Lytechinus pictus: one gene and its partner. The protein of the gene in region 2 interacts with the protein of the main gene of each other region in a pairwise test. Links are inferred from orthologs where the notes say so. Each region holds a gene or a part of one and is shown on either strand. Other genes may lie near its edges.

Region 1 (16,382 bases), on a different chromosome or scaffold from region 2:
CACTTTACCATAGTAATTGACAATGCCAGGAGTGACGTCTCAATAAGCAGTTGAACTGGATTGTGAAACAAAAATTATTACAGTTAATTTTGTACAAGTGCAGTACCTCACTCCCTCTCTCCTTCGTCTATTTGACTTTCCATTGTTATCCCTTTTGTTCTGTTCCCCTCTTTTCTTTCACCATTTCTCCTTTCTCTTTATCTTTGTCCTCCCTCTTCTTCCTCTCTATCCTTCTATCTCTCTCTCTCTCTCTCCCTCTAATCTCCACTCCCCCTCTCTCCTCTCTCTCCCATTCAGTCATAGTCACACTGGTTGCTACATCCTAGGAAGAACATAAATGAGTCGTATCAATATGGTAGCCATTCGTGTATTTCATGTAATCCTTAATTTACCTTGTACAAAAAATGTCAATAATGGTTGATTTTGCAGAGTTAAAGTTCTCATTTTCCTCCGAGTCCTTAATCATAAAGCCTTAAAAAAGACTACATAGTTTCTCTTTACTGTGGACGTCAAGATTAGTTCAATTTACGAAGTGGAGCATTTTGGCCTGATTGGTCTGACTCTCACCTTTGAAACAGAAGGTTGGGAGTTTGAATCCAAGCCATGACGTCATTTCCTTCAGCAAGAAATTTGCAGATATTTTATTTTGATAAAAATATTCTGATGTGAAATCTGTACATTCATTCAATAAAACACGTTTTTATTTTGTATTTTTCACATCATAATAATTCTAGAGCGCACACATTCATATATTCAATTAATGAATTGGAGTAGTGACATTGACTTTGGTGTGTTCTACCATAACTCAAAACACACTTTAATTTAAGCAAGACTTTACAACAGCTGAAACCAACATGACAAGCAATTTGGGCATCTCAATCACTATTTTACAGCTGATGTTCAAACATGATGAGTAATATGTATACCGTTATCATCAACTGTTATTGCAATTAATAGTATTTGCCACAAATCACATGAGGAAGCAGCCTTAGGAAACAGCATCCCAATCTACCTACAAACCAGGTTCTCATTTCACAAAAACTTGGAAAAAAAATGCACAACTTCTACAACAAATTTATTATCAGCCAATCAGATTTAAGGATTTCAGTAGCTTTTTACTGTTATTATAACACATTTCATCAAACGTACCCTGTTAGTAACAAAAGTGATATTGATATCAATTTTCTGGGGATACTACTAATATCTCCATAACATCAAACTGTGAACAACTCATGCCCTCGGGTAATCATTCATGTTCTTGATTGATTGATTGATTGATAAAAAATTAACGACACTATCAACACATGCGTGTCATATAAGTGTCGGACAGTTAATCTGGAAAGGTTACTATAATACAGTACAAATTACCCTAATGCAACTTTACAAAGGAACAGGATTATAAATTAGTAATTATCAGTAATAAATTAATACGTTAACTACTTCCCCGGGATAACTTCCCTACTCTTTACGAAAAGAGGAGTAGGTTTTTTAACGTGCAAATGGTGTGGCTCTCCTTTACACGGGACCGACGGCTTAGAGTCTCCTCCGAAAGACTACATTCATGTTCTTGAAAACAAAAAACAAAATCAAAATACACATCTTTAATGTTTAAATCATATCCCCCAAATAATGCTATCTTTTAGTATGGATCAAAGAGGATGCCAGAAAATTCAAGTCAGTATCCAGAAAGCTGTTCATATTAAAATGATTTATTAGGAAATTTGCATCCATAGTGGGTGAAATACAGCAAGCCAAATTATGATATGAATTCTTAAATTGACAAAAGAGTTGTATTTAAAATTGCCTTAGTTGAATAAGATGGTCATATTTTTTGTTACTGTTGGATATTATTTATCAATATTTAACTTTAAGTAAACCAAATACAACCATACTCTATCAAAAAGTCATTAAAAAAATATTGGCTTACATTCTAGCACTTAGGCATACTTCCATAAAATGTCAAGCTATCTGTAGCTTTGCAAGCCTCTTATTGAAGTTCCTGTTTCTTTTTCTATTTTAGAGTAAATTGATGCTTCACTATAAAATAGTACATGTAGAAAATTTTGTTGCATTTTCATGATCTTGCCCCATGCCCCATTCACTTTGTACATAAAATGTAGACAGCTGGCAGCCGTCTGTTTCGAGGATTTTTAAAACATTTTTTTAATTTTTATTTCTCCTCGTACACAGATGGCTCGCTATCGTGCAGCCACCATTAGGGTTAAACAATGCAAAATCCCCCTGACGGGGCTCATCGATTTTTGTCTTTATTTCATAAAAATATATAAAAAGAACTGGACCAAAATAAAGATTATTCCGTTTTGGCATAAAACGCACCAAAACAGGGAAAAATTAACTTAAAAGGGGAAAAAACAGTGACGTTCTTCGGCCGTCGTGCAACTTCACTCCCCTGTTTTATCCGAATTTAATACATAAACATATGGCCATTGAGTCCCTGTACAGATCGAGTTAGAACTTCGGTCTCTGTATTTGGTAAGTGGAGCCAACGGAGTTCAGCGGAACAACCAACATAACAGAGACCGAAGCTTTTGGTCTACATAAAATGTTGCTGTGCTTTAATGCTGAGCTTTATCATGGACTCTACTAGGGCCCATGGCTTTATCATGACATGACACATCAAGCCTTAGAAGTCGGGCATTGGATTAATGTCTTTTTAAATAAAAAACAAAGTGTTTATTAATCCTTGAGATTTGTTTAATATTTCTATTTGAAATGTATTTCTAATATCATTGCTCTCAATCTTCTGACCTAGTCTGCAAGAACAGACTCAAATTTGATACTTTAACCAATTATACCATGTCTAGAGTGAAGACTAGATGCCAAACTCTCTGTCTGAGAGGCAGCCAATGTACATGGTGAATCTAGTCTCACTACTTTAGACTCTGCATTACACACTGTGCGACCTTCAAAAACCAAAGGTCTTGCCTGCAGAGTACTTGTACTTCTGACCATGATGATGATGAACAGCATTTGTCTGGCACCGATTACATGTGAAAAAAATTCAAAGGTGCCAACTCCCACATTATGACACACATTATACACAAAGTCGCTGGAAAAGATGGATCTTTAATTCAGGTTTGAAGACTTCAAGGTTATACTCTAAGAATAAGGAGGTTGGATCCACAACTCTATCCCCATATGATTTTAGGTGAGTACTTGGAACTTAGAGAAGTAACCAATACAATTCAAATCTCTGAAGTAAGAACAATATTACCTTCATCTGAGCAATCTACTTCAGGGTCCCATTTCATAAAGATTTGTTATAACAACAAATGCACAATATCTACATCAATTTTACAAAATATTAGCTAATCAGATTAAACAATTTCAGTAGCTTTAAACTGTTATTGCAAACTTGTTATCATAACAACTTGTTCTGAATATATCCGTGTTTACGAAACCTACCCCAGGTGACCGTGATGAATGGGGAAGGAACCTTATCAGTTGAGAAGGTGCCAGATTTCTTCTCCACAGATGCAACACTTAATGTCTCTGCATTAAAAATCCTCTGATTAAATCAGAATTGAGTGCCCCCTCCTAGATTAGGAACGTCATGAGGGCGGGATCTGTTGGTTGCTGGCGGACTCTGTGGGTAGTTGCCCTGCCCCACTGCTGGGAAGATTCAGAGAAGGCACAGCTCCATGCTGGGGTATGCCCTCAGCAACTTGATAAGATTGCAAGTTTCCCCCTGTTGCAGCAACAGGTTGCATTCCTGGTTGCATCCCTGGTTGGAGACCTTGTTGCTGAGCCTGAGCTGCCTGTGCTGCCTGCAACTGCAACCACTCTTGGTGTTCTATTGCTGCTTGCTCTTGTCTTGCCTGTAAGAATTCAATCACATACATGTATGAAGTTAACACAAATCAACAACTTTCAAGGCCAAGTCCATCTCAAGAACAAGTTGATTTGAACACATACAGAAAAATCACACAGACATGCAGAAAATGTCATCAAAATCTGATGTAAAAGGTTAAGTTAGATAATTTTAAATATCCCTCTTTATTTCAAATACAATTTAATTCACATCCTGGTGGGTGTTTCATAAAGCTGTCCGTAAGTTAAGAGCGACTTTAAGAACGACTGGTGATCCTTTCTTGTGGTAAACAGTATATTCACAGGCGATGGTTTGGCACATAAGAAAGGATCATCAGTCGTTCTTAAAGTCGCTCTTAACTTACAAACAGCTTTATGAAACGGCACCAAGGTCAGTGTGCACATGTAGGAGCTGATTATGTAACCAACAGTTATCTCCAATTCTATGTCATATTTTTCAACTGTGTTTGGATACAGGGGTTATCCCGAAATTGTGGAAAACCTCCACAATTATACCAATCCCTAAGATAAACAAAGCCCGTGAACCAAACGATTTCCGGCCGGTAGCACTAACATCAAATAATATGAAATGTTTCGAGAGGCTCTTTCTTGTCCAATTGTTAAAAGAATCACAGTGTCAAATAGACCCATGTCAATTTGCCTATCGGTCAAAGAGAAGTGTAGAAGATGCTACCCTTGTTTTCCTCCATAAGATATATGAGCATCTCGATCGTGCAAAGTCGTACACGCGATCACTATTTCTTGACTTGTCGAGTGCATTCAATACGATCGCACCTCATTGCCTTGTACAAATGTTGATAGATATGAATGTAAACCCCAGACTTATTTAATGTATCCAAAATTTCCTTTGCTCGAGAATTCAATCAGTTAAAGCTGGGAATTGTCAGTCAAGAGAGTTGGTGACGCAAATTGGAGCCCCCCAAGGTTGCGTATTATCTCCCGTTCTTTTCTCGTTGTACACGAGTAATTACATAGGTACGAAGACATCCCGCAGTGTAATCAAGTATGCCAACGATACCGTGATAACAGGCTACCTGTTCAATGATCCTAATGAATATATCTCACAGATAAATGATTTTGTCAGTTGGTGTGACGATCATTACCTGATATTGAATACCAGTAAAACCAAAGAAATTATCATTGATTTTCGGAAGGGTGATAAAATTCATGAACCACTCCGTGTTCACGGAGATGTCATTGAGCAGGTACATGAGTACAAATACCTCGGAACAATCATTGATGACAAGCTCTCATGGAAGCAAAATTGTCTATCAGTACAAAAGAAAACAAATCAAAGGATGCTTTTCTTGCGAAAACTTAGAAGTTTTCACATCGATAAAACTATACTGAAACTGTTCTATCAATCAATCATCAAAAGTGTAATAACTTGCAACCTGGTATGTACTTTCGGAAATATGTCAAACGAGCAAAAACAAAGAATAGACCAGATTCGACAAATTGCACAAAGGACGATAGGCATGGATTTGTCCCCTGTCCAAGCAATTTACGAAGAACGCATACTTGCCAAAGTACATACCATAATGGCAGACAAGACCCACCTCCTCAATAATTGGTTCCGGTTTAATGGTTCAGGAATACGGCTGTGTCCCCCCCCCCCCCCCCCCCCCCCCGCACACGCCTTTCCCGCTACCGGTACTCCTTTATTCCTGATTCTATACATGTGTATAACTCAAAAGTAACATGATGAGATATCTTCTTCTTCTTCTCCTCCTACTCAGTTCTTCTTCTTTTTCCCCTTTTCTCTCCTTTCTTGTTCTTTCTTTTCCCTTTCTTTCTCTTCTTCTTCTACACTTTACCTTTCCCTCCAGCTTCCTTTCATATTTTCCTACATATCTATCACTCTCTTATGAATGGGTGTTTTGTAAGTGTCAATTTATGATGATTATATACCGCATACTAGGATGGGGGGGGGGGGGTGGGGTTAGCAGCATGCAGACATCTCATCACCTATTTCTTATAATTTATGAATTTCGAATCATGAATTCTAAGGGTTATCAACCTATTGTAGAAATGTTTTCACTAAAGTTGTATTGTTTTTTTATGTAGAGTTAGATTGCTATGATATATTTTATTTTGCATTTTTGTGTGTATGTTATGAGTTTAAAGCCATTGGAAACTAAATTTCTCTGTATGCCTAGCATTCATGGACCAATAAAACAATCTTGAATCTTGAATACTAATATCAAATATTCAAATGCTTCTCCATTACATATTAATGGGCTCTATTAAAGAAAAGATACAATTGTTCAATTACTAAAGCATATCTGTATTAATCTATGGCAGACCATAAAAAAAAATTCACTATAAATTGTGGATATTATTATTAAGTGTAACTCTTTATGTTACACTATTACCTCCCCCCCTAATTAGGCTCCAAATGGCAAACTTTATGTATGTTCTTCCCTTTTGTTGAGTTTATAGTAGCCTTTGAAGTGCAAAGCTGTTGAAAGTACCTTTTCAAAGAGCTCCTGCTGTTGTCTAAGGAGTTCTTCTTCAGGTATACCAAGATTCTCAAGACGAGTGCTTGCTTTCCTCTTCTTTGCTGCCACCGTCTTACATTCCTCTAGAACTGACTTGCACTCTTGCAGGTAATCTCCAAACCCTAGGCTGTCCAATGCTGCAAATCATTTAAAAACAAACAAGAGAAAACCTAAAATTGTGAGCATAAATTTTGACAATGAATGCATGCATTGCACGATGCCAGTCAAATTCTACACATTTTCATTCTGGTCAAATGCATTAACAATGTAACCTGTTAGTGCCTCTGGTGGATAAAGCTTTTCATAAGTTACGAGTGAGTTTACGAACGGCTTGTAACGACATTAGATTCTCATAGGTATTCCTTTAGTTTCTCATCCCAGGTAACCAGTTGTTGTAAATTACTCCTAACTTATGAACAGCTTTATGACCCATCCCCTACTCTGAAACCATTTACCTTGAAGCGCATGTTCTGGCGATATCGTCTTCTTGGCCTGCTTATTGCAAATATCATTTGCTTCTGATGAAACCAACTGAATAAACTCAGTACAGCAATTTAAAATGAGTTCTCTCGCATCATTAGCAACTCTGACATTGGGTAGTAATTCCTTGATCATCTTGTTAAGAGGGGCACGAGGGACAGTTAGCTCATCCTCTGGAAGTTGAGAAGATTGTGAATCTGCCATCGTTACTACCTGCAAAATACGGTAATCAATAGAGTTACATTTATATACTGTAATATATGGTATTTCTAAGCGCTTTACATTGCAATTACTATTACCCAAATAATTGGAATTATTTCAAACACTCCTTGATATATAAGGAAGGAATACCATAACTTTTTTTCTACAAGTATATGTAATGGGGCGATTCCATACGTGTCGTACGGGACATTTTGTCAACAATTTCTAGTCTCTTAGCTGATTGCTTGAGCAATAAAAAAATTATTTTTGGTCAATAATAAAGTTATAGCGGATAGTCATGTGAAAACCTGATTACCGACAAAAAATATTTGATTATGGCTGAATTAAGGGCAAACAAGTTGTGTGTCGACCCGTACGGGACTCAGAAATGTCCCGTACGACACGCAACAGTTTCATCTCTAATTCACCCATGGACAGCATATATTTGTTGGTTGTCATTTTTCATATGTCTACCCAGTAGTACTCTATTATTACCACAAAACAAATTTAAGTTCTTTGTTTGTTTGGACAATAGGTTGAAAAATGTTGCGAAAATAGCTGATTTTTCTAGCATGGAATCGCCCAAAGGCTTCTTGACTGACTACAGGGCTCAAATTAAGAATTCATTGGGGCAATGCAAAGGGAAGGAAGGCAGTGCTCACTTCAGAGGGCATCCAAGGCCATTAAAACAGGGTATCAACAGTAAAATGTTCTTTTCAATAGGACACATGCACTGGATTATCTCAGGGAACAAAGGCCATATTATTTATTTTGTAATTATCTGTGTTACTGTTTGAATATATTTTTGTGTCATTATTACCTTGTAATACATTGCAATTCGGCCTTAGCCACGATGATGTCATGATTTTTATCAATAAACCATTTATCTATCTATCAAAGACAACAAGAGTGTCGCTAAGGCGAGCACATAATACGCCCGCCTGTAACGCGGAAAATGGAGTTATGGTCAAGCAAGAAAAGTGGAAGGTAGCGACTTCACCTTTGACCTTCTGACCTCAAAATCAATAGAAGTACTGGTAATTACTGGGATCTATGCTAGTTCATACACAACAAATTTTATGAGCCTAGGTTAAGTTCAACTTAAGTTAGCGCATTAACAAGGACTTCAGAAGGGTAAGATGAAAACATGTCACTGTGATCTTGACCTTTGACTTTTTGACCTCAAAATAAATAGGATTCCTGGGATCCATGCTAGTTCATACACACCAATTTATATGAGCCTAGGCTAGGTTAAGTTAAACTAAAGTTATCATGTTTCAAGGACTTCAGAAGGATAAGATGAAAACATGTGAGTGTGACCTTGACCTTTTGACCTCAAAATCAATAGGCTTCCAGGGATCCATGTTATACACACCAAATTATATGATCCTAGGTTAAGTTAAACTAAAGTTAAAGTAAAGTTATCACATATACAAGGACGACAGAAGGGCAAGATGAAAACATGTCAGTGTGACCTTGACCTTTTGACCTCAAAATCATTAGGCTTCCTGGGATCCATGCTACTCATACACACCAAATTATATGAGCCTAGGTTAAGTAAAACTGAAGTTATCGTGTTTACAAGGAAAAGTTAACTGACAGACGGAAGGACCAACGGACACCGAGCGTGATACCATACGTCCCGTCTAGGACAGGCGTATAAAATGAAGGAAAAAAAATTGAACTGAATTGAATTAATTCATTTCAAACCAAAGTAACCAAACATATATTGTTTATCATATGCATCACTATAGTAATAGTATACATCAGGGGCCGCGGATCGGTTTTCAAAGTGGGGGGGCTGAGCCAAAAGTGGGGGGGGGCTGATCATGCTAAAAATCACAATCATATGGTCATTTTTTCGTTTTTGTACACGGCTTTGGAAAAAAGTGGGGGGGCTGAAGCCCCCCCAGCTCCCCCGGTTCCGCGGCCCCTGTACATTTACAGGAGTTTACACATCCACTGTTTATAACAAGACTAGAGTAGAGTCAAGAAAGAATACTTTTTACTTCAAATTTAGTTCAATATAAAGTCTTTAAACTTAAGTCTAACTTGTAATGTTAGACTAAGTCTAGAGTAACTAATTAAGATCTATCTTTGACTTTGACTTTGTATCGCCTAGCCCTAACGTTAGGCCTATTATTTCTCTCAAATTTTTGATTTTATGAGGATTTTTGGCACACTAACCATGCTAACTCATGAGAATATAAGGAACACTATCGACTGATTTTTTTTGTGAAATAAAAATAATAATAAAATCATTTATAAAATTATAGGTGCGCAGTCACAGAATTGTGATATCCCCATTGGAAATGTGTGCACAAGAAATTGCACACGCCAGCAATAGAAATGCCATGGTGGTCCGGCTGCAGAGGCTGAGGCCTGAGCCTCTGAGTCTGACTCTGAGGCTGAGCTGGCTCAACCCACTCGGCAAAAAAAAATGAAGAAATAAATAAAACAAAATAGTTTTTAAGGCATGCAATTTGAATCGAACCAACTTGACCTTGCTAAGCTGACGACACCTTGCTATGAAAACGTGCCTGTCCTGAAACCCGAGTTAAAGCTGCAGAAACAATCGAACGAGAGCGAGATAAAGTCAAGGCCGGCGGACCAATCGATGATGCGTCGGTCTCTATGCCCAGGCTAGGCGCGGCGCGGCCAGCCAGACCAGTCGGTCCGGCTGCGGCACCCGTTGTCCCCGAGACCTATATTACGTCATATGTGTTATGGCTGCACTTGGAAGAGCGACGGTCCGAGCCGTTCAAGGCAAGAAGAGGTTAATTCCTCAAAGGGCTGCTTTAGTTTTGGTGAGTGATCGAGATAGCTTTTTAATTTCCATCTCTTTTCCTGACCGTTAGTTTGTGTTTTTAGTGAGTGCAAGAGTTTATGAGCAAATTTGAGACAGTTTAATGAGACATGATTCGTACCGCGACGGGCCGGGCATGCGCATGCAGCAGAATAGGCCATGGGGCCTATCCTACCGGTACATAGCCTCTTGTCGAGGCCCTGTCGGCTTCTTTCCGAGCGAACATGGCAAAGCACGGGAGAGAGCGAAGCAGAGCGCCGCGAGACAGGGCCTCTGGACATCTGTACCGAATTTCACCGACTTTCTTTTGTTTTTTATTGTTTTTACCAATTCACCGACCAAAAACTGGTCGGTGAAAATCATCCAATGAGGAGCGCGAGCTGCTATGACGTCATATTAAATATTCATGAGCTCCTCTTGAATGGCGACCCTTGGATTCTTGGCGAAGAGTGACGACGAAATATCAAAGAGCACTGAATACGCCTCTAAAACGCTGAATATTGACCGATTTAAGGATTTGCAAGTCGATGAAATTAACTCTGCACTGAAAGGACGAGATGTCTTTGTAAATCTACCCACAGGATATGGAAAAAATGTAATATTTCATGCGATTCCACCGGTCGATCCGGGGCGTCGATTATCGATCTCCGCTGTGCAGTGCAGTGAGGGAAGCTGGGGGGAGTTGCTGGGAGTTGACTCGAGTCTGACCAGCGGCTGAGCAGTATCTCCCGGGAAGTTTCGGGGCGGTGATGGGTCTGTTACGGCCAGTAGTAATAGTAGTAGTAATAGTAGTACCACTACTTGTAGCATTTTGCTGGTTATATCCCCTTTATTGTCCCGCAATTAAATGAATCCCCTGCAGAATAGTGGACTACTATATAGTATTCCGAACCCAAGACGAAACAGCTCTGACATTTCATTGGTTTACTCGGTGACCGGTAATATCATGACTCATGTATATTCATTAGGAAGACGTTCCTCATGAATATATAATTCAGTTCAGATGTCAAGAGGCCCTGGCTCGCGCCAGGCCTAATTCGCTTCGCGAATTAGGAAAGCCCTCGCTTCGCTGGGGAAGCAGCCGCCAGGGCCTCGACAAGAGGCTAACCGGTACACGGCTCCGGCGGTGCGGCGTAGTAGGCGGCTACGGCCTACGCCTGCAAAGTGCAGGCTGCGCTGAGTCTTGCATCATGTCGTCGTTGTTTGCTCCACCATTACGGGCCCAGTGGCCGTCATCGGTCCATTGATGGAGGGAATACCGTGGAGTCAGGGGCCTGTTGCATGGAAGGGTCTTTCGTAGAACCATTCTCAGTAGAGGCGCTGGTCCAAAAATTGGGATTGTCCCAGAAAACAAGGATATCCTCATAAACCAAGACAAATCATGTCTTGATAAATTGAGACTGTCCTTGTTTATGGGGACGTTTTTTTTTCACTTCCCCCTACGGGACAAAGACAGCAATTACGGGAATTGTGAGTGCTAAAAATAGATTCAGTGACCTCAATTCCCCCCAGTTCACCGTCTATTTTTCATGACTTACCGTCTTCCAATAATCATGTTTTGAAACCTGATAATGTTTACATTGACTAGCACACTTGATTGGTGTCGGCACTTGACAGGTGAATGAACTTTCCTAGATTTCTTGTGTGAAGAAATCCTTATAAACTGAGACAGTCCCTGTAAACTGGAACGATCCCAATTTTCTGACCAGCGCCTCTACTGATTCTACGTAAGATAAGAACGAGATATCGCCCAACTTTTTCACAAAGCCGATTTGGGCGATACGAAGAATGGTCCTTGGAAAGACACCTCCAGACATGTCCTACGTAGGCATGATCTTCTTTGCACACTGCCCGCCACCGTCGGCATTGAGAGAAAATGCGTTTACGGCAAGCCACACTGACATATCACCTCTAAACATTTTTGGGGTTGCACACTGATGCATTTTATCTTGGATGGCGCCAAGTTATTTGTTATAATATGGGGGCTAGTTGTCATCAATTTCAGGTCGTCTTTTTGCACGGCAAGACGACCAAAAAACAGATGTCATTTTAACTTCTCCGGGCAGGGTTGGCACGTTTTAAACGGTGTGTTTTAAAACATGTTTTAAAACGCGTTTTAAAACACCCGTTTTTTTTACAAAAAAACGTGTTTTAAAACACCGCATAGGCTTGTGTGTTGTAAATTTGCATGGATGTGATTTTAGATTAATTTTTTAAATACTTTTATTTCTGAAGTGGTGTACTATTTTCTTTTAAGTTATAACTAATAAAAACTCTTTCTCCCAACTCTCTTTCTCTTTCCCCCTTTATTCTCCCTTTCTCCATTACTTTATCATGTTTCTTTCCTCCCTGTTCAATTGTGCACATCATTCCATATTAATAGAGTCTATATCTGAGTGTTGTGCTCACTTTTTGGACAGGGAAAGAAACACTATTTGAAATAAGCTCAAATACATGTATACTACATGTAATCGTAGTACTTCAATGAAATGGAAGTGTTGCACAAGCCTATATACTGTAAACAAATACAATGTAGACTGTAAAACTGACATTGTACTCTTGAAGTACACACGAAAGCAGGTGAAACTTTGCGCTTTGTATAGATGAAGAAAAGTAATTTAAACAGAATAAGATAGTCAGCTAGCAAACCTTAACCCTAACAATCCAAGGGGACCTTAACCCTATCTTAACTGGGCTATTTCAGACCGGAATATACTGATTGCACAATAACCGCAAAAATTTGCACGCGCGTAGAGCCGGATGTAAACTTCAAGACTGCATAATAAAATTTTCCCAAAAATTGATAATTTATATTTTTTTATTTATGCAAATAAGGGTATGAAATTTTGCCTAAATTAGTTTTTTTGTGTATGTATTTGCCTTTAACTCAATTTACGTAGCTAGTAGAATGCTAATTTCTGGTGGCAGTATCAATTTTTTAAATTTTTTTTTAACTCTTATGTATTTCTTTGTTTTTGAAACTTTTGTTTTTATTGTTTTTTCAAATGAACTTAGTCGGGGACCCTTTTGCAATCATAAATAGCATGAAATAAATCCATTTAAACCAAAAGTAAAAATAATCATACATTTATGATTTTTAGTTGAAAAACATAATTCAAGGCTCGACATTAGTGGTGGCCCGGTGGCCCGGGGCCACCAAAAATTCACCTCGGGCAACCATTATTGATAAAATGTTAAGTTTTGGTGGCCCGAATCGGGCAACCAATAATTTTCAAAGTAGCGCAATTTTTCTCCCAATTTTGCACGCATTTATCAACTTTCTACAGCTCAAATTGCAAGCCAGTTCGTCATGCGCCTTTTTTGTTGATCTACACACAAATACACACACACACAGTTTGCATATTAGGCCTACAGCTATAGCATACAGTAGCTATTATCCAGCCAGCCGCGCCGGCCGGCTGGCGTGAGCTTTGCATGAATCCACTGCATACAGCTGTACTGTGCATGCTCTAGATCTAGCTCAGCCTATTCAGACTCAGGGAGCTGCGATAAAAAATGTTGCTGCTGAGAAATCTTCCACAGAACTTTGAAAATCTAAGTCAAAGTCACCTTTTACACCAATGAAATGCAATTCTACAGTCTATATTACGAAAATCTGGTGTACCCTGATTATTTGCAAGTATTAAGAAGAGGAATTATGACCTCTCTTTTGACTCAAAAAGACCGATTTCCACATGAATTAATACACATAAAAACACATAGGCAAGTACATCACAGTCCCACGTGTGCATTTGTATGTATGTTGATACTTGGTTTCTTTCGAAGCTGTGTATTTTCTAGCCTTAAACAAACAGACAGTTTCTTTCTTTCTTGTTTATAAATGACTTCTTAAACCACTCTTGAGAAAGTAAATACTTTGGGAAGGCATTTCATTGATATGAAATGAGATTTTTTCCCCAACATTTTGGCAAATGTAGGGAAGGACTTTTCTCACACTTTTTTTCCAGATATAGTTTTTGCCGTTTTCTTTTTTTTTCTTTCATTTTTTTTTGACAGTGGTTAAACCATTTATACCCCTTCCCATTGAATATGCCTGATTAAAAAATATGTTTCTACTGAAAATAAAATAATACAATCTAAAGGATATAAAAATAGAAATGTGCCATTCCCAAAAGGTAAGTGAAAATTATATGCTTGGCTTTTTATTATATTCCAGTCAGAATAGACTTGCCACAGCTGTTAAAAATATATGTAATGGCTTCTTAATTTTCCCCTTTTCTCCATTTTTATATTAACTTTGTTTTATTAATTTTTCTTTCATTCTCTTTTCTTTTTTCTCTCAAATTTTTTTCTTTTCTTTTTTTCTTTTTTTCCCTGTTCTTTGTTTTTTTCTTTCTTCATTTTCTTTCTTTTGTGTTATTTCACTAATTTCTTTTATTATTTTTGTTTTCTTTTTGTTATATACTTTTTGAAAATTATTTTCGTTTGTTTCTCCCTTTTATGCATTGTTCTAATTTTGCAGCATATTTTTCTGTGATTTTCTCCTTCTATAATATGCTGCATAAGAGAAAACAGAAATAAACTGGATTTGGGGCATGCATAATCTAGGTTTTAGGATTCAAAGAGGAAGGAAGGAAAAACCATTGTTTTGTACATCTATCTGGGTTTGCTATGCACTATTTATTTACTTTACCATTATCTCTATACAGAGATTTTAAAAAAAGTCCACACAACCTGCGAACAATACAATTCATTTATTCACTTTCAATCATTTCATTTTTACAACGATAGAAACAATTATCAATTAGCAAAGTAAAATAACAGCAAACAAGGTTTACATGCAAGATGTATAAAGTGAAAGGAACTTAGTGGTAGTGGCTGCAGAATTAATATTTCAGAAGTTTGTTTTATTCATTTTTAATGTTTTTCTTTATATTTTTCGGGCCACCAAACTTTAATATCGGGCCACCAAAAAAAAATATTTGATGGTTTTGGTGGCCCGAACGGGCCACCACCAAAAAAAGTTAATGTGGAGCCTTGCATAATTTGCATATAGACTTTCAACACGGAATCACATTTTTGAGCAATTTGCTGAGAAATCTTCCACAGAACTTTGAAAATCTCAGTCAAAGTCACATTTTACACCAATGAAATGCAATTCTACAGTCTATATTACGAAAATCTGGTGGACCCTGATTATTTGCAAGTATTAAGAAGAGGAATTATGACCTCTCTTTTGACTCAAAAAGACCGATTTCCACATGAATTAATACACATAAAAACACATAGGCAAGTACATCACAGTCCCACGTGTGCATTTGTATGTATGTTGATACTTGGTTTCTTTCGAAGCTGTGTATTTTCTAGCCAAAAACAAACAGACAGTTTCTTTCTTTCTTGTTTATAAATGACTTCTTAAACCACTCTTGAGAAAGTAAATACTTTGGGAAGGCATTTCATTGATATGAAATGTGATTTTTTTCCCAACATTTTGGCAAATATAGGGAAGGACTTTTCTCACACTTTTTATCCAAAATCACCAGATATAATTTTTGCCGTTTTCATATTTTTTTTCCTTTCATTTTTTTTTGACAGTGGTTAAACCATTTATACCCCTTCCCATTGAATATGCCTGATTAAAAAATATGTTTCTACTGAAAATGAAATAATACAAACTAAAGGATATAAAAATAAAAATGTGCCATTCCCAAAAAGTAAGTGAAAATTATTTGCTTGGCTTTAAATAATTATATTCCAGTCAGAATAGACTGTTGCCACAGCTGTTTAAAAATATATGTAATGGCTTCTTAATTTTCCCCTTTTCCCCATTTTTTTATTAAGTTTGTTTTATTAATTTTTCTTTCATTTTCTTTTCTTTTTTCTCTCTAATTTTTTTCTTTTCTATTTTTCTTTTTTTCCCTGTTCTTTGTTTTTTTCTTTCTTCATTTTCTTTCTTTTATTTTATTTCACTAATTTCTTTTATTATTTTTTTTTCTTTTTGTAATATACTTTTTGAAAATTATTTTCGTTTGTTTCCCCCTTTTATGCATTGTTCTAATTTTGCAGCATATTTTTCTGTGATTTTCTCCTTCTATAATATGCTGCAAAAGAGAAAACAGAAATAAACTGGATTTGGGGCATGCATAATCTAGGTTTTAGGATTCAAAGAGGAAGGAAGGAAAAACCATTGTTTTGTACATGTATCTATCTGAATTTGCTATGCACTATTTATTTACTTTACCATTATCTCTATACAAAGATTTAAAAAAAAGTCCACACAACCTGCGAACAATACAATTCATTTATTCTCTTTCAATCATTTCATGTTTACCATGATAGAAACATTTATCAATTAGCAAAGTAAAATAACAGCGAACAAGGTTTACATACAAGATGTATAAAGTAAAAGTAACATAGTGGTACTGGTAGTGGCTGCAGAATTAATATTTCGGAAGTTTGTTTTATTCATTTTTAATGTTTTTCTTTATATTTTTCGGGCCACCAAACTTTAATATCGGGCCACCCAAAAAAATTATTTGATGGTTTTGGTGGCCCGAACGGGCCACCACCAAAAAAAGTTA
Region 2 (16,382 bases):
GGGTGGTAGCCCTTATCGGTACCGACATTGATGGTACCGGTGTGGTACCATCAAACTCACCTGCTGCAAAGACTGAAGCAGTTGCTGCTGCTGGGTACCACTAGTCCCAGATTGGTTACCACCAACGGTAATAAACTGTAGTGGTAATGGGTTAAAAGGAGCGTGGTATGCGTACAGACGGTGCATGGTGGAGAAGGCAAGGGGGTATGAGATACATGGATGAAGGTGTATGTGCAGGATGGGATTGCGGTATGAATGACAGAAAGGGTACATTTTGATATAAAGGGTGCAAGGGAGGGTTGGAGGGTGCATGAGATAGAAAATGGTATTTGAGTAATGGAGGTCACATGGAGTGTGCATGTTGTGGTATGGAAGGTGAATGGTGAGGTATGGAGGGTGTATAGTAGGGCAGTGAATGGTATCAAGGAGTATAAAGAATGCACATTGACGTAGCATGATGGGTACAGGGGGTGCACAGTAAGCAATGGAAGGTGCATGATCAAGTATGAAAAGGTGTATGATAAGGTACAGAGGGTGCATTGTGGGCAAGGAAGGTGAATGAATGGTTGGAAAGAGAGAAATCAAAGGGTACATGGTACCATGGGTGAAGGAACAGTTTACAACAGTTAAAGCACATACATGGAAGGAACCCATATGGACAACCCAAAACAATACATGTACATCGCAAAGAGTGAGAAATAATTATTAAACAAAATCAAGATGGAAGTAAACAAAGCAGGTGTCCATGCATGTCCAATGAATTCAGCCAAGGAAAAAGCAGCAACACATATTTTGCAAAAAAAAGTGATTTCTTGATACCAATCAATAAAGGGAATACAACGAAAAGGGTAGAGCAGCAGGGACAAAGAGCCATGGATAAAGAAATTGATATACCATAAAGCAGAAAGACCAGACAGTAATTAAGGAAGGGACAGGGAGTGGGCCAATGCAATCCAATCCATATACATGTAATGTATGCACCTCAGAGTCAGGAATGCGATGAATAAAAGAGGAAAAAGCAGCAGGATATATATGGTGGACAAGGTTTAGAGAGGAAAATGAGAAAATGAATTAGAATAATGAGAGTCTATTGATATACCACATTCCCCCAAAAAACTTTCATGGCCATAAGCTAACCTTCAATGAAAAATTTATGAATAAAAACATCATGGTCTGAAAGAACCCCTAATGAGTAGACAAAATGATTGTTTGAATGAACCATTACTGATGGTTTGTAAGATATCCATATGAAACAAAAAATGATTTGCACTGGAATGAACTGAATCAATGTAAACTTTTAACCAATGAAAACTATGATCATGCTCTGTGACCACCTTAACCCTAAAAGGACTGGGGGGCATGATGCCAATCCCCACCCCCTGCAAGAAAAACTTTTGTGTGCTTGCGTGTCAGAGTCCTAAAAAGGACTGAGAGAGAAATAATATCTACCGTTTTTTTTTCATTTTCACTTCATTCTACCAACTCCTACTATCACGATCATGAAAGTTCATCTGTGTTGGTAAAAGATAACGATTTTGTTGAACTTTGGTTCACAACACAAAAAACAGAAAATAACGAAGAGTTACCTCGAAATTTTCGGCTGCTAACTGCAACCTTCGTCAGCGATGTGACCCAATTTGACCTTAGTGACGTAATGGTCGATGATCGGGTCGTAGACATTCGGAAGCTTGTATCGTTGTCAAGGACAGACGACTAAGGGTTTATGTCAGGAATCTTATATAGGAGAAACAGAACGTTCCCTTAGGACAAGATTCCTTGAACATCGACGCCCTAGCTCCACTTCCTCCGAGGTATCTCAGCACATCCACATCGAATCCCCTGGCCATCTTGTTGACATCAACAAGGTACAAGTGCTGGACAGGGAGCCGCGGTACTTTGAGAGAGGTGTGAAAGAGGCCATCTACATCCGGGCGTTCAGACCTTCTCTCAACAGAGACGGGGGGCGATACAAGCTTCCGAATGTCTACGACCCGATCATCGACCAAATCGGGTCACATCGCTGACGAAGGTTGCAGTTAGCAGCCGAAAAATTTCGAGGTAACTTTTCGTTATTTTCTGTTTTTTGTGTTGTGAACCAAAGTTCAACAAAATCGTTAACTCCTACTATCCTTTTGAGGACTAAACCCCACACTAAATCCAAACCACCTGTACAGAAGCGTCGTTAGCGCTAACAGGGGCCCTACTACAACCGGTAATGAGGCAGCGATGCCTAATGTTACAATACATTACTCATACATTGAAATAAATGTTTTGACTTCACAATCCGAACGATGTGTCTGGGCTTATTGTTAGCTCTCTGTTAGGCTAACGTTTCTGTGCGGCCGGCACTGAACATTAAATAAAATACATGTTTTGTGAGGTCAAAGATGGTATCACAAGAGAGAAAATGTGGTGATGTCGAAAGGGTGATCCTGTGCTTTATAAAGTGCTTGAATGTGACACTCTGACATTGTCGGTCGAATCTCACAATGAGGACGTTCGCTGCGACCTTTCTCAGATCCAACAACTACATGTAATGCTTTGTACCATATAACAGTTGAATTAAGACTATATATATATATATATACAAAGACATAAAGGTTTGTATTCTGATAATTAAACCTGGGTACATCCCTAGTCTAAAATAGAAACTTAAACCACACTTCTGAGGAATGCTGGCTTCATATTATTTCTTCCATATACCTGGCAATTATAATGTACCAATTAATTAACTGAAATTCATATTTTTTTTTATTTTCATAGTCTTCCCATTTCACGACTCAATTAACATTTTGATAACTTTTTGCAGCAGGATAAGAATAATTTTAATTGATGAATGAGTTGACAACTGGCACTCCATAAAAGTATGGTCCAAGTTAACCCAGGTTTAATTAAACCATGGTCATCAGAATACCACCCAATGAGAGCAACCAGCTCTGGAAGGCAACATATTAAATCGAGAGCTAAAGGTCACCTGAACTTGTGGTTGAGTTGTAGCAAGCTGACCGGCTGAGGTGTTAGCAGCACTGACCACAGTAGGAGCGGTGTTCTGGACTTGCACGGTACTTGACCCTTGGTTCTGACCCTGCTGAGGAACGCTGAAATAATACTGGACTTGGTCGGCCGGTATGGCCGTCTGCTGCAGCTGACCCTCCTGTTTACACAAAACATCACTAGGAGAATCAGTATAAGAAATCAATGCATCAGGATAAGTAATGTGGGACTATAGTGTTGCAGTCCCACATGTAGATTTTCATGTAGTAGATCGTGTGTGACATCGACTGCAAATTATCTTTTAGAGTCTAGAAAGAAGGGAATATTCTTCATTTTCTAGATGGTATCAAACTAAAATCAAAGCAATCATATGGAAAATATGGAAAGACGTGAAATGTGAAATTTCAGCTACTTTTGGGGAATAAAAAAAAAAAAACCCGCCAGTTAAAATCGTTTAAATGTTTGGGTTGTTTTTCAAAATACTGTTAAACGTAATGACTGAGGCCTGCTATGGACAATATGATTCTGTTGTGGGCAACATATCTGAGATTCCCAATGTTAACAAATAATTGCTTACCGATCTCTTAGGTGGTTTGAGTTCATCTCTGGGTACAATATCAATCAAGAAATCAAACTGATCATACTTGGTGATTGCCATGGCGATGTCATTCCTCTGTTGATAGAAACACATAGAGTTGATGTGTAACAAATTGAGCATACATTCAAAATAATGTATCTTGTACACCACACTGTCTGGTTTTAACATGTTCACTTGAATACATAATCTGTCATAGCATCAATCTTTCAATTAAAGTTATGGTATGTGAAAACATAATAGCCCCTTCCAGCATCAGATTTCACAGGATTCGAATAAAATTTCAATACAAATTACAATCAATGTGTGAAATGTATAATTTATTTAAACCTAACTGCACAGGTGGGGTGGACTGGGGAATTTAAAAAAAAAAAAATCTGTAACATGAAAAGCTTTCACCTTGACATTCCATTACTCCTTACCGTTGTGTCTCACACACAACACGTGTACATGTACGTCATACCATAACTTGCTAAAAAAACACGAGTTGTGTACAAACCCAACACAAATTCAGTTTTGAGCTGAAGTCCATAAATGCATGATAACTTTTGCAAATATTCTAATAGAATAGAATAGTAATGGTTTATTGGCAATAAATGATTGGCAGCCAGTGGCTGAAATATACGTTTACAAAATATAAGAACATACAAAGATATTATACAGAGTAGATAAATAAAAAAAAAATGCATTCAATACATAAATTACACAGAACGATTACACAAAGATATTCATAATAGATTGAATTACACAAAGATTTTCATTATAATGGATCTAATTACATAAAGGGGTTCTGAGTGTAAGTGAAATTATAAATCACATTAAATCAAATATTGCATAAATAGACAAGAAGAATGCGAGAATGTAGAAGCGCCATGGTGTAGCGGTTCTGACTCTCGCCTTGTAATCAGAGGGTCGTGTGTTCGATTCCCACCATGGCCTAGCGTCTTTTGGCAAGGCGTCAATCCACAATTTGCCACTCTCCACCCAGGTGTTAAATGGGTACCCGGAAGGATGCGAAAGCCTATGTAGTATGCCTAGCAATTGAGTCTTGGAACTCTTGTTGGAATGCTCCCCAGGGAGTGGAAAAGGTGCATACATTGTATGCGGGCATGCAAGGATCCGATTACCGGGGTAATAATATATCTGTAAAGCGCTTAGAGACGTCGTTCCGATGTGTTAAGCGCTACCGGTATATAAATGCGGAATATTATTATTATTATAATGAAATCAAATGGTAAAATAAAAGATATTATATGTAAATATGTGATTCATGTGATTTGAATGGATCAAACCATGGAAAGGATCCATGATGAAACACGACTGTTTGTAAGATGGGGTCATGTGACAAACCTGAAGCGTTCTTCTTTTATTTTCTTCTGTATGAAGCCACGCTCTGAGTGAGAGTTCTGTAATGAAGATTTCAGCAGCCTTGGCAAATAACACTGGGGCTTCAGCACTTATCATCTGTATAATGGGTAGTAACAGAAATACAATAAACCGTAAACCACATCAGCGATAGAAATACAATATTGAATGATTAACTATAATGAATGACAATCTACATGTATACATGTATTTACAATATAAGGGGAATAAGTTTAATTCATCAGTACATGTTAGACTCGTATTCCAGGAACAGTATCTCATTATCATACAGTGTAAATGAGATTCTCATCAATTCATTTTTTTCAATAAAGAATAATTTGAAAATGAAATTATAAAAGTAATTGATGAACATAACAATACTTTGAATCAACCTCAGGCATATTTTGTGTGAGCATGCATAATTCCAGAAATAATTCATGATCAGTTTCATGAAATTACAGCTACATGTAATGCAGGGAATAAACTGAGCTGATTTTTTGGATAAAGTGACCGATTTAGAATATTATCAAAGCAATCAGATGAACCCGTTTTGCAGAAATTCATTCAAAATTATATACTACATGACACAAAAAAACAATATTTCAAAAAGAAACCATATATTAAAGAGAAATTCCAGTAGTTGCAGTAAACACTGATTTCATGAGAAAGTCTGTAAAACCAGGCTTAATTGTCAGTATATCATCGAGGATCTAGATCTGGTACAGTTACATAAACTGAACTTTGTGAAATCTTGAAATCTACGCTGAAAAATGTTCAGACTGAACTTCCCCAACACAGATAAGCGCACGTGGGACTGTGTATAATTATTGCTTTGAGCGTCGGGCCCCGACGCTCTACCCGAATCCTGTGCTTATTTGCTGATTTCTCAGCAATTAAACAATTTCTTCCAGAATCCTTTGGCACATGCGTTTTATTTATACAAACAGACACTTTGGTGGTCATTTCATTGGATTCTGTACGAACTCATTTTGATATCGTTACCAAAACTAGCATTTACCTTTAATCTTAGAGAGTCACCATTTGTTCACCCCCCCCCCATCCATATCATGACAATTACCACAATCAGCGCCTTGAGCACTCTGCAGAGTGGATTTGGCGCATTACAAATGCCATCTAAAGTATTATAATTAATATTAAAAACAACAAAGTTTTCAAGCATTCTCCACACCCCACCAAGTCCCCAAGGGCCCTCTCTACTCTGCAGGACTATACCCTATAAAAATAAATTATACCATAAAATTTAAGGGATTGTTGTCCTGTACTATTACTAATCATTACAAAGAGCCAATTTAGAATTATATCATAAATACTATATACCTTGACATCTTCGTCTAGCTTCATAATCTTCTTGATTCTGGCTAACGGAAGTTCCTGCGCTTTCTTGAAATCACTCTGTCAAAATATTATGATCGTAAATGAAAAGACATATTGACATGTGGCAGGAAAATTTCAGAGTATTCAACAAAATAATTAATTATTCACTTTAACTTCATCTGTTGCAGACTGACTCCACATATATGCATCTAACATTTTATTCATTGTAATGTTTGATTACGGATCAAATAAACATCAGCAGAACCATCAATCTATCTGAGATAAAAAAATTGGTATTTTTTTTATTTCATCTTACAACTGCAGCAACATCAAGGGTATATAATATGGTGAAATCTGATTTGGGGAGATTTCATACATGTAGATCTTGATGACTTTGGAAAATAAAATGAAGAACATTGCCATGAAATCAATCAATGTGGGTTATTATATAATAGATTAATCATTTAACGAAAGCACAACAGGTATGAATTCATATGACATAAAACGTCTTTGAACCATCTTTTTAGACTTAAAGCATTTGGTACATAAGTCATATGATTTGTCTCACAACAATTGAGCACTATGGAAAACATGTGGTGAGATTTGTTGTATCAGATCTGAAAGAGGCTTTCAGATAATTTGAAATACTACACTGAAAACTTTTAATCCAATATTATAGCAAGACCCAAACCACCAACCAGAGAGACTGGCAAGGGTCAATCTTTCATTAACACTAGGCACAGGCTGCAGCTACATGTATATCTTTTGCTGTCACTCTAAACGTAAGCAATATGTCCGGTGCTGAGGCCTATAACAGTGAAGCAGCAACCACCTATACACTCCCATTTTTTTTTAAAGTCTTTGTTTTCTTTTAACCATGATTCAGTGCAGGTTTTTTTTGTATGAAGCACTGGAAACATACGTTCATACATGTAGATAAAAAGAAAACAGTTACTAAAAGCAAGACAGTAGTGTGTGTCGGCATTGGTTGCTTCACTGTTTGTGCATCAGACGTATCACTTGTGTTTTGTGTAAAACAGCATCAGACTGGTAAAAGCAAAAATAACAATTGCCTATATTATAGGCTACCATAGAAACTACAGCTTTATGGTTAAAGATGGTAGGCCTATCTTACATTCTTCAAGTTCCTGATGGTTTCCATCTGTCTCTCCCAGAACTGTTCATGATGCATCTGAGACTCAGTTTGGTTACTGCCTGTTGGACCGTCTGAGGAATCCATAACTCTAGATGGGAAAAACAAAACAAATAATCTCATACAAATCCTTGTTATAAGTCCAAGTCAAGAATGATTTGTTTGTGTTGATTTGTTGTCAATAGAAATAAAAAATTATGAAGCACCTTAAAATAGCTTCAAATTTTGAGCCCAATGCCAAAGATAAATTGGGTCACTTACATGTACACAGTGCATGCAGGGTCTACAGTATAGGCCTACACAAAAGGTATAACATGAAATTTTACATAGATTTTAAAAGGGGAATCCAATTTTATAGCCTCAATGTGTGGAAAGAGAAAAAAATAAAAGAAACAGAGAGGTGAAATTTTGAAACAGAAAAGAAATTGATGTTTGACAAATGAGATTACCAAGAACTTCCAATTGGCAATTTGATGAGTAGATTGTGAATAAATATAATTGGTTACTAAATAAAAATAATACCGGTAATAATAATCATTATTTGACCGATATAAAAAACACTTTATTCATGTAATACATCAGAGAAACAATCATACAAAGAAATGTGGGAGTGGTAAATGGGTTACGTCAAGAGGCTCAAAAGTGGAATTTAACACTGATGACTGATGTTTCCTTGAACATCGACACCCTAGCTCCACTTCCTCCGAGGTATCTCAGCACATCCACATCGAATCCCCTGGCCATCGTGTTGACATCAACAAGGTACAAGTGCTGGACAGGGAGCCGCGGTACTTCGAGAAAGGTGAGAAAGAGGCCATCTACATCCGGGCGTTCAGACCTTCTCTCAACAGAGACGGGGGGGCGATACAAGCTTCCGAATGTCTACGACCCGATCGACCATTACGTCACTAAGGTCAAATCGGGTCACATCACTGACGAAGGTTGCAGTTAGCAGCCGAAAATTTCGAGGTAACTCTTCGTTATTTTCTGGTTTTTGTTTTGTGTTGTGAACCAAAGTTCAACAAAATTGTTATCTTTTACCAACACAGATGAACTTTCATAATCGTACTGATGTTACCTGGAGGCATGCGGCGTATCTAGCATCAGATCCTACAAAGCATTTTAGGGGCGCAATTGTCTGCGGACAATAGTGACTCTATTATGCTTGTGAATGGCCCATACATTTCTTTGCCATACAGTAGGCCTACATGTGCTGGATACGCTAGTGATGCACCCTCTCACATGCCACTCCCATGACATAAATCATAATAAATAATAATAATTGTACAGTTCTTAAATACGCATAACGCCTACAGGTCTCTATGCACGATGAAAGCAAGAAATGTGGTGAGAATTGTAAATTTAAAAATTAGACATCAAATAATTATACATAAGATCAAAGAATATTAGACATAAACATAGAATATCTTCCAATATCTTCCAATATTGCACATAGAAAAATGGGAATGAAAGGGAAGGGGGGGGGGGGGTGGAATCATCACCTCAGCGCTGAACAGTAATATAGGTTCTACATTCATTGCATTATTGAGTTACATATTTTATACTTCATAAAGACTTGCCCTGCTGTTCTGTATACATATACAAATGATTAATCTTAATAAATAAATAACAATCAAATTGAAAATAAATAATATAGGGGCCCTATAAATAAAATAATTATAAAAAGAAATGTACAATTTATTTTATTTCATATTGAAAGATTCAGTAGCTCTAATTACAGACTGCAGTTTATTACAAATCTGTTATTGCAATAAGTTTAATGAAACAGACCCCTCAACCATGTCAACATGCTCAAGATGATCTGAATTGTATGTGTGTTCATTAATTTTTTTTATTCACAATCTTTTTTATATTGATCTACTAAAGTTAGATCCAAGGTTAAACATGATCTAACGTGTCGTTAGACCATATTTTTTTTAAGTTAAAACATTAAATTTAATAAATAACAAAACTTTTAACTAGTCTAATGACTAATGTCATGATCAGAAACTCTAACTTTGTCTTTAGACTTTACTGCCAGCTGCCCGGTAATTGAAATAAATAATGAACAATGTAGAAAGGCAAAGGTTTTGATATCCAATGCTCTCCCTGCTCAAACAAGCATCACGAAGAATATTAACAAAGGAGAATAAAAAACCAACTCAATTCTTAAACTCAGTCCCACACATACGTCTGGATGTATGTAAATCACACATTTTAATTCATCACTGTTAATGTTTTGTCAATGACTGTCATTATCAGAAGCGGCGCGAATTGAATCCTTAGTGGAAACATCATCTTCAATTTTGGCCAATAATCATGTGTATCTGAATAAAACATTCCCTTATCCTCAATCTGTAGATATAGCATAACATTTTGGGAGTCCATTGACACCTTTGTGAGGTCACATAACGTGTGATTTGCCCAAAGTTGGCATCGGAGAAATGGGGAATTTTCAATGGCTGTTGGCCGAGCAAGCGAGAGCCAATGACCATATGCATTGACAGCCGTTGCACGGACCGCCAACCAATCACGCTATGCCAATACACCGCTCAGACAACATCGACTAACGATTGGGCTACTTACAAAGCACGCAAAGTCGGCGATAAAAAGAGAGGAAAATACAAAATTAGTAACATTATAAGCTACAACTAAATATTATTCATCATCTAGTGCACGGAAATTCACAATTATATCTTACCATACAAGAAAAAGTACCTTACAAAGACAAATTCGTAGTCGAGTCGCGTCAAAGGCTGGCCGATGTGGAAATGGAATGCGATGATACCCGATAATTATGTGTACCGGTACGGTATACTGTGTACATGTACGGTACCGTACTTGTACACATCGTGCATGCTTGTTACACGCAAACGTGAAACACACACTGAAAAAAATAGCGGCATTAATTGCACGAAGCTGGGGGGGGGGGGGACTTTTTTTTTTCTTAGCCCTAAAAGGGATGGGGCCTTGGGCTATTTGAGATGTATTGGGGGTGACCCGACAATTGCTCCGCCGACATTTGCTACGCAAAATAAGACAATTGCTCCGGACAAGTGCTCCGCCGACAGTTGCTCCGTTTACACTTGCTCCACCGATATTTGCTCCGTCGACACTTGCTCCGCCGATATTTGCTCCGTCGACACTTGCTCCGCCGATATTTGCTCCGCCGACATTTGCTCCGGTTACACGACAATTGCTCCGCGACAATTGCTCCGCCGATAATTGCCCCGCCGACATCTGCTCCGCCGAAAATTGCTCCGCGACGATTGCTCCGCCGACATCTGCTCCGTCAATATTTGCTCCGCCGTAAATTGCTCCGATAATGCGACAATTTATTCGTACTTTCTTGTGCATAACAATACTGTAGCACAGGCTGAAGGCGTCAATTTACAAATTTGTATATTATAATAATTATTGCAAAGTAAACTTAAACTATGCTTGCATGATATATTACATTACATACACAGGGGCCGCGGAAGTGGGGGGGGGGGGGGCTGACCATATGCTAACAATCACAATCATAATGGTAATTTTTACGTTTTTGTACACGGGTTTGGAAATAAGTGGGGGGGGGGTGAAGCGGCCCCCCAGCCCCTGGTTCCGCGGCCCCTGATACATAGCATAGAAAGAAATAGAAAAAAGGGGATAAGCACAAAAGAGGGATAGATATTCTTAATTCTCATTCGTGCCAGGGACCTGGGAAGCGGTGGTGCTGGGGGTGCTGCGTGTATTATTTTCCATAGGCAGCACCCCTACCAAATAAGGTTCCCCCTGTATTTGTTTAATATGTTATAATGTACATAATTATCACATCCGACAATCGCAAGTCATTTACAGAGTCTTTCACATATTCCAATAACATCGCTCCTATAACGCGACTCAATCAAGCTCGCGCTCGGCACTCCGATACAGACGTGGTCGCACGCGATACGTGATTACCATAGTTTACACACTACTCGATAGCAGGGAGGGACATATGGGATATGAGTGTGATTGGACTTGAAACTTCCAGATTTTATGTCTAATCAAGTGTGCGCGCGCCCGACCGCCAGTGTTTTGTATTAACAATTACAAGTCAGACAATAGAAATCAAATTTCACAGTCTTTTTCGCCCTGCCCCATGGCCCTGAAAAGCGGGGGTGCTGGGGATGAAGCACCCCCAAATTCTGGGGGTGCTTCATCCCCAGCACCCCCGCTTTTCAGGGCCATGGGGCAGGGCGAAAAAGACTGTGAAATTTGATTATTTTCCACAGGCAGCACCTCCTGGAAAGCTAGTGGTAGGTATGATAAATGACAGAAATGTAATAAAAATATTAAATAGGTGGGTTGACATGGGCGGAAATCTGTCCCCAAAGGTAGTGGGACCAGGGCCTGGAAAATTTGCCAAGCAAAAAAAATTCCCACTATCCTGTTTCTTGTGTTATTACAAGGAATCAAGATTGTTTCATTTTTTTTCATACCAGTGTGAATGATATGTCTCCCTTATAATGAAATAAGTTGCAGCAAAGAATATGTAATGGACTAAATCAGTTGTCAATTCAACTGTTTTTGGTTCTTGAAGGGAAAATATTGAATAAACCTAATTCTATATAATGAAATACAAAAGAACAAGTGGGGATATGACATCATCAGTTTGCTCATTGAATATTAAATGAAGACATGCTTAAAACTGTTTCACCGGAATAAGGCTAATCTTTAAAATGCAATAACTTCGATTTCCTTGTCGGGTTTTGATCAAATCTTTATTCTTATGTTCGTCTGATTTTTCTTTATCTGTTCAAACCATATTTCATTCAGTGCGGAGTTTCAGATCAGAATATCAAAAAATTTCTGCTCGCGCTTCGCGCTCACATTATTAATATATCAAATTACCCATCATTTTCTTGATTTACAAAACATGAATAGAATGTCCCGTTTATAGGTCTGAAATCTCAATTTTGCTTCCGCTCGCGCTTTGCGCTCGCATCAATTGTATAGTTATATACCTATCCTGTTCATGATTAGAAAAGTGCTTAAGATGTCCTGTATTTAGGTCTGAAATCTCATTTTTATTTCCACTCGCACTTCGCGCTCGCATCAATTGTATAATTATGTACCTATCCTCTTCATGATTAGAAAAGTCCTTAGAATGTCTCGTTTTTTGGTCTGAAATCTCAATTTTGTGTCCGCTCGCGCTTCGCGCTCACATCAATTGTATAGTTATATATATATACCTATCCTGTTCATGATTACAAAAAGTGCTTAGAATGTCCAGTATTTAGGTCGGAATGTCAAAATTTTCAGCTCGCGCTTCGCGCTCGCATTATTTGATTGTTGATATATGTATCGTCTTAATGGGTAACTGCAATTACACGGACGGATCCAGGCCAGCTTTCGCCAATAGGGGGGGGGGGGCCGAAAAATATTTTCATCAACATTTTCCTCGATTGGCTGCTATAATCTGATTTTTTTTTTTTGGGGGGGGGGGGGGTTCAGTGGGTAGTCCGAACTAAAGACTGAAGTTTTAAGTATATGTTAGTTTTTATTGTTATAAAGAAGATATCTCATGTGGTATTGATATATAATGCGAGTGCGAAGCGCGAGCTCAAATTCTTTGATATATTATGTCCTTAGACCTGAAGATTCTGAGCAGTTTTTATAATCATGAACAAAGATATGTTCAACTTAACAATACAATATTATCCAACTAAACAATGCGAGCGCGAAGCGCGAGCCGAAATTTTATTATAGTAACGTGAAAAGGGACTCAATTGTTTTTAGTGATTAATGAAGAGGATACAAGTATCACCAATTAAATAATGAGAGTGTGAAGCGCGAGCTCAAAATTATTGATATTCCGACCTGAGAACTGGACTGTCTAAGCGCGTTTTTATTAAAATAAAGAACAAGCTGTGTGTCTAAAAAACGAAGCACGAGCTTAATTTTTTGATATACTGACATGATACAGGAGTATTTTTACAAATTTTGGTAAGAATTTCCAAAGAGGATAAGTATCTCACAAATCAAACAATGCAAGCGCGCATAGCGAGCTAAAAATTTTGGTATCAATTAACAATTTGTGTAAATCAAACAAAATAATGAAAGCTTGATGTGCGAGCTAAAATATCGTGTGCAAATTGATTTCAGAACTGGATATATTAAGTGCCATTTAATCCTCTTGAATGGGATTCATTACACAGGCAATGCGAGCGCGAAGCGCCAGCGAATTTTTTATATAAAGTCTATTTTCCAATTCTTCCTGTTACCTTTCGGGGTCGGGCCGGCTGTTACGAGGCTGTGAATTACACATCATGGGTATAATACCTCTTTCTTACTTTTCTTTCTGTTTTTCATAGTTTCTATCAAGTTAAAGAGTACATTTTTCTGCAGGTTGTCAAAAAATAGGGGGGGGGGGTCGGGGCCGGCTCGGCCCCCTCCTGGATCCGCGCCTGGCAAACAATCCTTATAACACGTCCCTTTCGATCAGGCCAGAGCGTATATTAAAAATATCTGCTCACGCTGATAACGTTCGCAGTTATTATCTGTTACATAAGCATCTTGTTCAGGACCACAAACATTGCTCAAAATGTTCAATTTTCAGTACAAAATACATGAAATTCCCCCCCCCCCAAAAAAAAAAAATATACATATATATATGTGTGTGTGTGAGGGTGTGTGTGTGGTGCCCTTAGAAGTGTGTGTGTGTGTAATTATGGAAAACTCAATTGTGCCCCCCCCCCCACCTTTGAGGTGAGATTTCAGGACCCCCACTGAAAAAATCGTTCCCAGGTCCCTGTTCGTGGGGGAGCATTTGAGTAAGTTTTATTTCGTGCCTGGTGATTAAAATGAAAAAAAATACGCGTTCTCATGTAATTGTTATGACAGTACAAAAAAACTTGTTTTTAATTAAGACCTTCAAATGGGGCAATTGCTTTAAGTAGTCAGGAAAAAGAAGCAGACTATTGTACATAAAACAATATTAAAATGGTGATTAAAATGAAAAAAAAAATACGCGTTCTCATGTAATTGTTATGACAGTACAAAAAAATTGTTTTTAATTAAGACCTTCAAATGGGGCAATCACTTTAAGTAGTCAGGAAAAAGAAGCAGACTATTGTACATAAAACAATATTAAAATGGTGATTAAAATGAAGAAAAAATACACGTTCTCATGTAATTGTTATGACAGTACAAAAAAACTTGTTTTAATTAAGACCTTCAAATGGGGCAATCACTTTAAGTAGTCAGGAAAAAGAAGCAGACTATTGTACATAAAACAATATTAAAATGGTGATTGAAATGAAAAAAAAAACGCGTTCTCATGTAATTGTTATGACAGTACAAAAACAATTGTTTTATATTAAGACCTTCAAATGGCGCAATCACTTTAAGTAGTCAGGAAAAACAATATTAACTCGAAGTGCAAGGAAATATATTGGTGTATATTGACTTAAAAACGGGAGGTTTTAGTACAACATGGTTATATATCTCGTTAAACAGACAATGCGAGCACCAGGAACAATGAAGACAAAGGCCCTGAGCAAATTAAGTTTCATAAAGTTATGAAAAAAAATGTTTTTCATGTAATATAACAACATAAACATTATAATGAACAATAATCTCTTCTTTCCCACTACGTTTCTTTTGCCCCCATGCCCCCCCCCCCCCCCCCGTAGTTACGCCACTGCGCCCATTTTTAGCGTCAAAATCGCTCTGGCGAAATATATATAAGTGGAGATATTTGCTCCAGGTGAAATTCAACGGTACCCCACCTTATTTGTCGAAAACCTGTACTGTAGTCACGCAAACTGTTTACTGTCGGCAAATTTTGTCCCACACTAACATGACCAAGATAAAGTAAAAATTAATATTCACGAAAATACCAACTTGTGAAAGGCTACATGCCGTGTCGCATACATTCGTAATTCCGAAGCTTTGTTATTCCGAAGGTTCGGTTATTCCGAAGGTTCGTAATTCCGAAGGTTCGTAATTCCGAAGGTTCGTAATTCCGAAGGTTCGTATTTCCGAAGGTTCGTTAATCCGAAAACGAAATAAGGTTCGTAATTCCGAAGGTTCGTTAGTCCGAAAACGAAATGAGGTTCGTAATTCCGAAGGTTCATTAATCCGAAAGCAAAATGAGGTTCGTAATTCCGAAGGTTCGTTAGTCCGAAAACGAAATGATTAACGAACCTTATTTCGTTTTCGGACTAACGAACCTTCGGAACAACGAACCTTATTTCGTTTTCGGATTATCGAACCTTCGGAGTTACGAACCTTCGGAATAACGCCACAAATGTTCGGATTAACGAACCCTTTTTCGTTTTCGGATTAACGAACATCGAGGTACAGGCAATTTACGTGTTTCGGAATTACGAACCTTCGGAATAAAGAACCTTCGGAATTACGAAGCTTCGGAATTACGAAGTGTACCCTTTGATACAAGCATGATACAAGCCAGTGTAATAATAATAATAATAATAATACAGGTATATTTACCCAGGGAAGCCGCTTCAGTTCCGAAAACTGTTCTTCCAGCGGGCCCTGCTATTATTATTACCCCGGCTTTAGCTGGGCTACCTAGGCGCTCAAAGCATTGAAGGAATTTCTTCCTACCGGGTACACATTCATCTCACCTGGGTTGAGTGCAGCACAGTGTGGATAAATTTCTTGCTGAAGGAAATTACGCCATGGCTGGGATTCGAACCCACGACCCTCTGTTTCAAAGTCCGAAGACTAATCCACTGGGCCACAACGCTCCACGTGTAGGCCTATATAAAAAACTAAAATAACAAATTTCTAATAATTATGAAATGTGCTTAGTGAAAAACGCTTTTTGCAAATTAAATATACCATCTTTCTAATCTTATCTACTATTAGGCCTACTGGTTTTCACAAAGAAAAAAAATCCTTTTGTATTTTTTTCAATGAAATTATTACAAACCATTTAAGAACTTAAAC

The links.
Region 1: the proteins of nuclear transcription factor Y subunit gamma-like (region 2) and protein Dr1-like interact in binary tests that used the Homo sapiens proteins (3 or more experiments, as listed by UniProt). The link is inferred for Lytechinus pictus from reciprocal best matches to the Homo sapiens genes NFYC and DR1.

What each region holds. Positions count from the first base shown.
Region 1 is NC_087259.1:25,476,804-25,493,185, forward strand, and holds protein Dr1-like, read right to left. Parts: upstream 9,792-16,382; 5' UTR 9,538-9,791; intron 7,047-9,537; 5' UTR 7,038-7,046; coding exon 6,809-7,037; intron 6,491-6,808; coding exon 6,327-6,490; intron 3,840-6,326; coding exon 3,573-3,839; 3' UTR 1,095-3,572; downstream 1-1,094. UniProt on the Homo sapiens protein: The association of the DR1/DRAP1 heterodimer with TBP results in a functional repression of both activated and basal transcription of class II genes.
Region 2 is NC_087261.1:4,124,794-4,141,175, reverse strand, and holds the start of nuclear transcription factor Y subunit gamma-like, read right to left. Parts: upstream 10,554-16,382; 5' UTR 10,144-10,553; intron 7,534-10,143; 5' UTR 7,530-7,533; coding exon 7,425-7,529; intron 6,368-7,424; coding exon 6,293-6,367; intron 5,054-6,292; coding exon 4,940-5,053; intron 3,668-4,939; coding exon 3,572-3,667; intron 3,155-3,571; coding exon 2,975-3,154; intron 136-2,974; coding exon 61-135; intron 1-60. UniProt on the Homo sapiens protein: Component of the sequence-specific heterotrimeric transcription factor (NF-Y) which specifically recognizes a 5'-CCAAT-3' box motif found in the promoters of its target genes.